Linked DNA regions of Saccharomyces cerevisiae S288C. The protein of the gene in region 1 purifies or fractionates together with the protein of each later gene. This does not show direct contact. Each region holds a gene or a part of one and is shown on either strand. Other genes may lie near its edges.

What was found.
Region 2: the proteins of ARG4 (region 1) and CPR3 purify together in Saccharomyces cerevisiae (affinity purification with mass spectrometry, with the first as the bait; one large-scale study listed by BioGRID). This does not show direct contact.

What each region holds. Positions count from the first base shown.
Region 1 is NC_001140.6:137,130-143,252, reverse strand, and holds ARG4 (argininosuccinate lyase ARG4), read left to right. Parts: upstream 1-1,850; coding exon 1,851-3,242; downstream 3,243-6,123. Other genes in the region: asparagine--tRNA ligase DED81, read left to right, coding at 1-1,359; YSC83 (Ysc83p), read right to left, coding at 3,402-4,559; YSC84 (Ysc84p), read left to right, coding at 4,798-4,844, 5,013-6,123.
Region 2 is NC_001145.3:107,935-112,050, forward strand, and holds CPR3 (peptidylprolyl isomerase CPR3), read left to right. Parts: upstream 1-3,067; coding exon 3,068-3,616; downstream 3,617-4,116. Other genes in the region: TDA9 (Tda9p), read left to right, coding at 1-598; DUS1 (tRNA dihydrouridine synthase), read left to right, coding at 872-2,143; CFF1 (Cff1p), read left to right, coding at 2,313-2,918; TRAPP subunit BET5, read left to right, coding at 3,931-4,116. UniProt on the Saccharomyces cerevisiae protein: PPIases accelerate the folding of proteins. It catalyzes the cis-trans isomerization of proline imidic peptide bonds in oligopeptides. This isozyme is required for growth on lactate at high temperature.

The DNA.
Region 1 (6,123 bases):
TTGAATATCACCATTAAGGAGGACGAATCGCTACCAGCTGCCATTAAGACTAGAATTTATGACTCTTATTCCAAGGTCGGACAAAGAGTTAAGGTTTCCGGTTGGATCCATAGATTACGTTCTAACAAGAAGGTTATTTTCGTCGTCCTCAGAGACGGATCTGGTTTCATTCAATGTGTCTTGTCCGGTGATTTGGCATTGGCTCAACAAACTTTGGACCTGACTTTGGAATCCACCGTTACTCTGTACGGTACCATAGTCAAATTGCCTGAGGGTAAAACCGCTCCAGGTGGTGTTGAATTGAATGTCGACTATTACGAAGTTGTAGGTTTGGCCCCCGGTGGTGAAGACTCCTTTACAAACAAAATCGCAGAGGGCTCAGACCCTTCTTTACTGTTGGACCAACGTCATTTGGCCTTGAGAGGAGATGCCTTGTCTGCAGTCATGAAAGTCCGTGCTGCTCTACTGAAAAGCGTTAGACGTGTTTATGATGAAGAACATTTGACAGAAGTTACCCCACCATGTATGGTGCAAACTCAAGTCGAAGGTGGTTCCACTTTGTTCAAGATGAACTATTACGGCGAGGAAGCTTACTTGACCCAAAGTTCCCAATTATATTTAGAAACCTGTTTGGCCTCCCTAGGTGATGTTTATACCATCCAAGAATCTTTCAGAGCTGAAAAGTCCCACACAAGAAGACATTTGTCCGAATATACCCATATCGAAGCTGAATTGGCCTTCTTGACTTTCGACGATCTATTACAACATATTGAAACTTTGATCGTCAAATCCGTGCAATACGTTTTGGAAGACCCAATTGCTGGCCCACTCGTAAAACAATTGAATCCAAACTTTAAGGCTCCAAAGGCTCCATTCATGAGATTACAGTACAAGGATGCCATTACCTGGTTGAACGAACACGACATCAAGAACGAAGAGGGCGAAGACTTTAAATTTGGTGACGATATTGCAGAAGCTGCTGAAAGAAAGATGACCGATACCATCGGCGTCCCAATCTTTTTGACGAGATTCCCAGTAGAAATCAAGTCTTTCTACATGAAGCGTTGTTCTGACGACCCCCGCGTCACTGAATCCGTCGACGTTTTGATGCCAAACGTTGGTGAAATCACTGGTGGTTCTATGAGAATCGACGACATGGACGAACTAATGGCAGGGTTTAAGCGTGAGGGTATTGATACCGACGCCTACTACTGGTTCATTGACCAAAGAAAATACGGTACTTGCCCACATGGTGGTTACGGTATCGGTACCGAACGTATTTTAGCCTGGTTGTGTGACAGATTCACTGTCAGAGACTGTTCCTTGTATCCACGTTTCAGCGGTAGATGTAAGCCATGATCTTTAGTTACTGAAGAGTACGTGAGCGCTCACATATATACAAATATTTATACCGATTAATATTTACGTTCCTCCCTCTCTCTAATTATTCATTGATTTATTCAAGAATTAGCGTTATAACAATAAATGGTTGGCGCAGGCAATTAATTTTTCTTTACTCTTCCAAACCCTCTGTTAACGACAATCAAATAACCTGATCTGCCAAGGCTCCATCATATCTGGCCTAGAACAGTTTTTTTTTTTCGATTATTTGTTCGTTCTTGTGGTGGTTACTCATTGGCAGAATCCCGAAAATCATGATTAGTAGATGAATGACTCACTTTTTGGATAAGCTGGCGCAAATTGAAACATGTGAAAAAAAAAAAAAAGGATTATAAAAGGTCAGCGAAGCACAGAACTCTGAGATAAGACTACCTTTCTTTAGCTAGGGGAGAATATTCGCAATTGAAGAGCTCAAAAGCAGGTAACTATATAACAAGACTAAGGCAAACATGTCAGACGGCACTCAAAAACTATGGGGTGGGAGATTCACTGGTGAAACCGATCCTTTGATGCACCTTTACAATGCGTCTCTTCCGTATGATTATAAGATGTATAAGGCAGATTTAGAAGGAACTAAAGTATACACAGCGGGCTTGCAGAAGTTGGGTCTTCTAACGGAGACAGAATTGGCAAAGATCCATGAAGGTTTGGCTGAAATCAAAAAAGAATGGGACGCTGACAAATTTGTCCGTCATCCAAACGACGAGGATATCCATACTGCGAATGAAAGACGTCTTGGTGAACTAATTGGCCGCGATATTGCTGGTAAAGTCCACACCGGTAGATCCCGTAATGATCAAGTTGTTACCGATTTGAGAATATACTGTCGTGACATTGTCAATGACACCCTCTTTCCAGCTTTAAAGGGCTTGGTTGAAGTTCTAATTAAGAGGGCCGAAGGTGAGATAGATGTCTTAATGCCAGGCTACACACATTTACAAAGGGCACAACCTATTAGATGGTCTCATTGGTTGAGCTCTTATGCAACATACTTCACCGAAGATTACAAGAGACTGGGTCAAATACTACACAGATTGAATCAATCACCACTGGGTGCAGGCGCTCTTGCTGGTCATCCTTACGGCATTGATAGAGAATTTTTGGCTGAAGGTTTGGGTTTCAATAGTGTAATTGGTAACTCCTTGGTTGCTGTTTCTGATAGAGATTTCATCGTGGAGTTGATGTTTTGGGGAACTTTGTTCATGAACCATATTTCTCGTTTTGCTGAAGATTTGATTATATATTGTACAGCAGAATTTGGTTTCATACAGTTGAGCGACGCCTATTCAACAGGTTCTTCTTTAATGCCTCAGAAGAAGAATGCAGACTCGTTAGAGTTGTTAAGAGGTAAATCCGGTAGAGTATTTGGTGATCTGACAGGATTCTTGATGAGTTTGAAGGGTATCCCATCTACTTATGATAAAGACATGCAAGAAGACAAAGAGCCACTATTCGATTGCTTAACAACTGTAGAGCACTCCATGCTGATTGCCACAGGTGTTATTTCTACCTTAACTGTAAATAAGGAAAAGATGGAAGCTGCTCTCACGATGGATATGCTAGCTACCGACTTGGCAGATTACTTGGTCAGAAAGGGTGTTCCATTCAGAGAGACTCATCACATATCTGGTGAGTGTGTCGCTACTGCTGAAAGACTTGGTCTAAGCGGTATTGATAAATTAACCTTGGAGCAGTATCAAAAGATCGATTCGAGATTCGGACAAGATCTTTTTGAAACTTTTAACTTTGAACAAAGCGTTGAAAGACGAGATGCTACTGGTGGAACCGCTAAATCTGCTGTATTGAAGCAATTGGATAATTTGAAATCCCAATTAAATTAGCAGATGGCGACGTTATGCGCAAGAATTTCATCAGGTCTGGTACTTCTAGGACTTCATCAACCCTTCTTTAAATACTTATTTTGTTATTAGTATTATATTTTCGAGATTGTGCTATGTATATATATACGTAGATAAGCAATTGTTATCTAATCAAGGATATTATTTGGATGATTTAGAAGATGACCGGCAAAAAAACGAAATAATGCTGCTATATACCTTGGCTAATCTTCCTCTCAAGCGTTTCAGGGAAAGACGTGTGTGATGGTTGAATATAAGTGAAGCAAATGGCCATGAGACTAAATAACTAAAACGGCCGCAATAATACACACTATTGTAACCTCCCAAAGTCGTTAACCAACTTAGCAGTTGTCTTAGTTTATACCCATTCGCACTCATTATCATTTTGTAAACTGGATAATGTAGGGCCTCGTGAATGTCTGAACCGGCCATTCTCAAAAATTTATAGTTCGATGGTTGTGACCCAATCTGCAGGATTCCAAGCTTGATTGTGGAAACATTTAACCTTTGATATTCCTTGAAAATTTTAAATAGTGAGTCGATTATTCCAGACGTTATAATTTCTGTACTATGATGGACTAAGTTCAGGTCCGCAGTCAAAGATGGATTGAACATAATTAGTTGGGTTTTTCTCTTCAAATGGGGTATAATGCTTAATAATGCTTGATAATACACAAATATACTTGAATGAATTTCAGATTCCAATGAGTCACATGAAATTACTCCGGATGGATGATATGATAACCTTGGCATAAACAATATGGATGCTAGCCTTGGTACATCAACAAAAAAACCCTCGAAGTCTTTTTCGCAGGTGGGATCAATGTAATATATGAAATCCTGATCTTCTTCGTGCTTCTTATAGACGTCTGCATTTTCAGTACAAATATATACTGTAAACCGTCTGCGATATAAATCCATCACTTGATTCCTTATGATAGGATCATTCATATCGCCCAGTATTAATACCACTTGAGATTCTGCTTCAGGTAAATTAGGTGGCAGTTTAAAAAAGGTCCTATACCCAAGGTATAAGCACAGGGAGGTGGCAGAAATTCCCAAGCCTAGCTTCCAATGATCCTGGAGCCCGATCCTCAAAGTTTTATATACTTTAGATCTGTTACTGTCGTTTTCCTGTAGTCGAGGAGTCTCCTTGTTGGATATCTTTCCAGATATGGATTCAATTGATTTTTCGACGTGGTTCTTGATCTCATCGCTCAAGACAGCGCTTTTCGAGACGAGCCAATACCCAGCATCAAATATCTGATCCACTATATCCTTACCACCAGACCAAGCCATTTTTATTTGTTTTTTTGAGAGCAAATATCTTCTGTTGTCTGTTTTATATTTCCTGTTTGTATGCCACCTACAACATTTTTACATGTTCCGACGCTGACCGAAAACGACCTGAAGGGAATTAAAGTTGACTACCCCCTAACTAGACCCTGTTCTTAACATTATCTATAACATGAAACTATCTTACACTTCACAGTAAAATTTTCAAGAGTAGTGGTAATATCAAATCCAAAATCCAAAAATGGGTATCAATAATCCAATTCCTCGAAGCTTGAAAAGCGAGACCAAGTATGTTCATATATATGCTTCCTGCTGCCCCTCCTCTAAACTTATGGATGCAGCTAAAATGTTCAAGATAGCTCTCTAGTCTGTGTCCATTGCTTATGGGGCATGAGTTTTCAAAAGTAATGTACTAACAACTTTATGATTGATTTATTTCGAATGTTTTAACTACAGGAAGGCCGCGAAAGTTCTAAGGAGTTTTGTTAAACCAAATCAAGTATTTGGAGCAGACCAAGTTATTCCACCATATGTGCTAAAAAGAGCTAAAGGTCTAGCAATTATCACGGTTTTAAAGGCTGGCTTCTTGTTTTCAGGGAGAGCAGGTTCTGGGGTGATTGTGGCCAGGTTAAAAGACGGTACATGGTCGGCTCCCTCTGCTATCGCTATGGCAGGTGCTGGTGCAGGTGGTATGGTCGGCGTTGAATTGACAGATTTTGTTTTTATTTTAAATTCGGAAGAGGCAGTGAGGTCCTTTTCTGAATTTGGTACAATTACTTTAGGTGGTAATGTGTCAGTTTCCGCAGGTCCTCTTGGAAGAAGTGCAGAAGCTGCAGCTTCTGCATCCACAGGTGGTGTCTCGGCAGTTTTTGCCTATTCCAAAAGCAAAGGTTTATTTGCCGGTGTGTCTGTGGAAGGTTCAGCCATCTTGGAGAGAAGGGAAGCTAATCGAAAGTTTTACGGCGATAACTGTACATCAAAGATGATTTTGTCAGGTAGAGTAAAAGTTCCACCAGCAGCAGACCCCCTACTCCGTATCTTGGAATCAAGAGCGTTCAACTTTACACGCCACGACCATGATGACAACGCTAGCGGTGATGATTTTTATGATGACGGTCAATACAGCGACAACACAAGCCATTATTACGACGATATTCCAGATTCCTTTGATTCTACTGATGAATCCTCAACACGTCCAAACACAAGATCATCAAGAAGAAGAGGAATGTCGCTGGGGTCACGCAGTCGTTATGATGATGATTATGATGATGATGGTTACGGACGTGGTCGCGGGTATGGAGATTTTGATAGCGAAGATGAAGATTATGATTACGGAAGATCTCCAAATAGAAACAGCAGCCGCAATAGAGGCCCACAGATAGATAGGGGTACTAAGCCGCGTGCGAATACCCGATGGGAAGATGATTTGTATGATAGAGATACTGAATACTCCCGTCCCAACCATTCCGGTAGGGATTATGATAATACCCGAGGAAATAGGCGTGGTTATGGTAGAGAAAGGGGTTATAGCCTTGGTCATGGCCCAACTCACCCCAGCAATATGAGC
Region 2 (4,116 bases), on another chromosome or scaffold:
TTTAGAAAAAGTGTGCTACGAGCGGGAATCACTACGAGAGGCCACAGAGTACGCTGTATCCGTTATCACTTTCTGGATTGATACTGTCTCTGTAATGAAGGGTAAATCGACACAGACTCCAATCTTCACCATTACTTGTATTTTTGTTTCGATATTGGTCATAGCGGGGTACATGAGGAGATTGGAAGACTTTGCTCAAAACAAAAACAGTGATTGTATGATTGGTAGTTTAAAAAGCACTGACAGGATCTTGTGGTTAAAAGCATTCAAAACTTTGAAGAGGATCGAATCACATTTATCTGAAAGAGAGTATAAATTACAAACATTTGCTGAGTTTTTAAGGGTTCCAGATAATGGCAGTCTTGATATTGAGAGTTTGGACTCATCCTTAATAGAGAATACTTTGAATTCACATGATGTTACCAATCAAGCGCTGGACATAATCACGAGAACAAGATTGTCATCAAGAACATTGTATTGCGGTGCTAGAATTCTTGGCGATACACCAGTCTGGCCCGTATCTCTGTTGTTTGCTCATGCCTTACAATCTAGGGCTATTTACAATATCAACCACAGGAAATCTGTAAACAGTGTATAGACTTTAGATAGATATTTAGCATATCCGTATGTAACATTATATTAGTTCTTTAGGGCAAATTGAAAAATTTAATCATCTTTTCTTATTCTTAAAAGCGTGAAAATCAAAAAAAAAAATCGATGAGTTGAGAACATATGATAAATAAAAACAAGCAAGGTGATCGTCAAACTGCACTCACGCACACATAGATTTTTAGCTCCCAAAGTGCTATCGTCTATACTATCCAAGTTTTTACAGGCTCGCAATAAGCTCAATAAACAATATCAACTGCATATGACTGAACCTGCCCTGAGTAGCGCTAATAACGCTCTGATGCAAAAACTAACAGGTCGACAACTTTTTGACAAGATCGGCCGTCCTACTAGGATCGTTGCACCAATGGTAGACCAATCCGAATTAGCATGGCGTATTCTATCGAGAAGATACGGTGCAACCTTGGCGTACACTCCCATGTTACATGCAAAATTATTTGCTACCTCGAAGAAATATAGAGAAGATAATTGGTCTTCCTTAGACGGCTCTAGCGTAGATAGGCCGTTGGTTGTACAGTTCTGCGCTAATGACCCAGAGTATCTATTGGCGGCAGCTAAACTGGTGGAAGATAAATGCGATGCGGTAGATTTGAATTTGGGCTGTCCTCAAGGCATAGCTAAGAAAGGTCACTATGGGTCATTTTTGATGGAAGAATGGGACCTTATACACAATTTAATCAACACCTTGCACAAAAATTTGAAAGTTCCAGTTACAGCAAAAATACGTATATTTGACGACTGTGAAAAGAGTTTGAATTACGCCAAGATGGTGCTGGATGCTGGAGCTCAATTTTTAACCGTCCATGGGAGAGTAAGAGAGCAAAAAGGACAAAAAACTGGTTTAGCTAACTGGGAAACAATCAAATACCTAAGAGATAATTTACCTAAAGAAACCGTGTTTTTTGCTAACGGGAATATCTTATATCCTGAAGATATTTCACGTTGTATGGAACATATCGGTGCTGACGCAGTGATGAGTGCTGAGGGGAACTTATACAATCCTGGTGTTTTCAATGTAGGCCAAACTAAGAACAAGGAGAAGATATTTCCACGCGTAGATAAGATTATCAGAGAGTATTTCCAGATTGTCAAAGAATGCCAGGAATCTAAAGCCTCCAAGACAGCAATGAAATCACATTTTTTTAAGATTTTAAGGCCTTTCTTGCCGCATCATACTGATATTAGGTCAACACTTGCTACTATGAATGCAAAAGCCACGTGGGAAGAATGGGAGGAACAAGTAGTGAAGCCTGTCGAAAAAGTAGTGCAAGAAATATTTGAACAGCCAGATATCGCTATTAAGGATGAAATTACTATCGGCGAAAAGCAATCATGGGGTGGTTCATATAGAACTGTTCCATACTGGAGATGTCAACCATATTTTAGGCCTGTTAACGGTATCACAGGTGATAAAAGAGTTATGCAAGGCCTCATAGATGAAAGCGTGAACAAGAAACGTAAAGCTGACGTGCCATTAGAATCTGCTGATAAAAAGAAGGACGTGAAAGCTTAAAACCTGATAAAATCCATGTATATTTCTTTGCCTTTTCTATTCTTTTCTCTAAGTATAGTTTTTATGTATGTATATTAATTCAAACAGAAAATGTTCAACTCCGTCTCCATAAGAAAACTTCTTTCAATTTGAACACTTGTATATTCAATCAGAATTCGCCATAGAGAGCATGTCAGCCAATGTACAAGAAGCTGCAAATGCAGCTATAGAGCCGGCCAGTTTCGTTAAAGTCCCAATGCCTGAGCCACCAAGTAGTTTGCAACAATTGATCAATGATTGGCAATTAATCAAGCATAGAGAAGGTGGGTATTTTAAGGAAACAGATAGGTCTCCCTACACCATGGAAGTAGAAAAACCAGTAAATGGAGGCTCAGGTAATACTGAAATGGTAACAAGAAATCAATCTACGTTGATCTATTATCTACTAACCCCCGACAGCCCAATTGGGAAATTTCATAAGAATATTAACAGGATCATACATATCTTACAAAGAGGCAAGGGTCAATACGTTCTAGTATATCCTGATGGTCAAGTGAAGTCATTTAAAGTTGGTTTTGACTATAAGAATGGAGAAGTCTCGCAATGGGTTGTCCCCGGAGGTGTGTTTAAGGCAAGTTTCCTTCTGCCAAACGAAGAATTTGACAACGGTTTCTTGATTAGTGAAGTAGTGGTACCAGGTTTTGACTTTGAGGACCATACCTTCTTGAAGGGTGAAGATGAACTGAAACATCTTGTGGGACCTGAAAAGGCAGCTGAGTTAGCTTTTTTAGCTTGAACTTTTGTACTTAGTTATTATCAAAATAACCAATAAGAATTATTTTAGTCCTTTCGCACCGCGATTATTAATAAACTCAATATTTTTTTCCTATTTAATTCCATAAAGAAACAAAAAAAAAAGCAAGCAACTACAAAGGTCTACTTACCATGTTTAAACGTTCCATCATTCAACAGTCCCGCTTATTCTCCAATTCTGCTTCTAGACTAGGTAAAAAAGTGTTCTTTGATCCTGCGGTCAATGGAACCAAAATCGGCAGAATAGAATTTGAATTATATGATAATGTGGTTCCTAAAACTGCTGAAAATTTCAGAGCCTTATGTACCGGCGAAAAGGGCTGGGGCTATAAAGGTGTCCCTTTCCACAGAATCATCCCAGACTTCATGATCCAAGGTGGTGACACTGATTTGACTAACGGTTTTGGGGGCAAATCCATTTACGGTTCCAAGTTCGCTGACGAAAATTTTGTCAAAAAGCATGACAAGGCAGGTTTGTTATCTATGGCAAATGCTGGACCAAACACTAACGGTTCTCAATTCTTCATTACCACTGTGCCTTGTCCATGGTTGGATGGAAAACACGTTGTCTTTGGTGAGGTAACCAAAGGTATGGACATTGTCAAAGCAATCGAATCATACGGTACTGCTTCTGGTAAACCAAGAGCTGAAATCGTTATCGAAGAAGCTGGTGAGTTATGAAGGCTTATATGAAGCTAAGGTCTCTCATATTTCTAGCATATAAGGTATGCGTTATCTCTATGTCTACGAATTATATCTGTTTATAGTGTTTTATTTTATATAGACTCGCTGGCTCATAAAAAATCAACCAACTTTTATTCTGGTTTGCCTCAGTCGAAATGTTGTCCTTTACTATTGACTAGTGTTGAAGAATTTCCGGATCTTATATTTTCGACAATTGAGTTCCAACATACATTACAGAAAAAATACAAAAAAAAAATACAGAACTATCGTAAGATAATCTGCTTTTGATATAAATCATAAATCAGTGGAGCATGGGGATATATTCATTTTGGATCTTTGATAGGCATTGTAACTGTATATTTGATAGAGAATGGACATTGGCGTCCAATAGCGCAAGTGGTACAATAAACTCCAAACAGAATGAAGAAGATGCAAAACTTCTGTATGGTATGATATTTTCGTTACGCTCCATTACACAAAAGCTCTCCAAAGGGTCT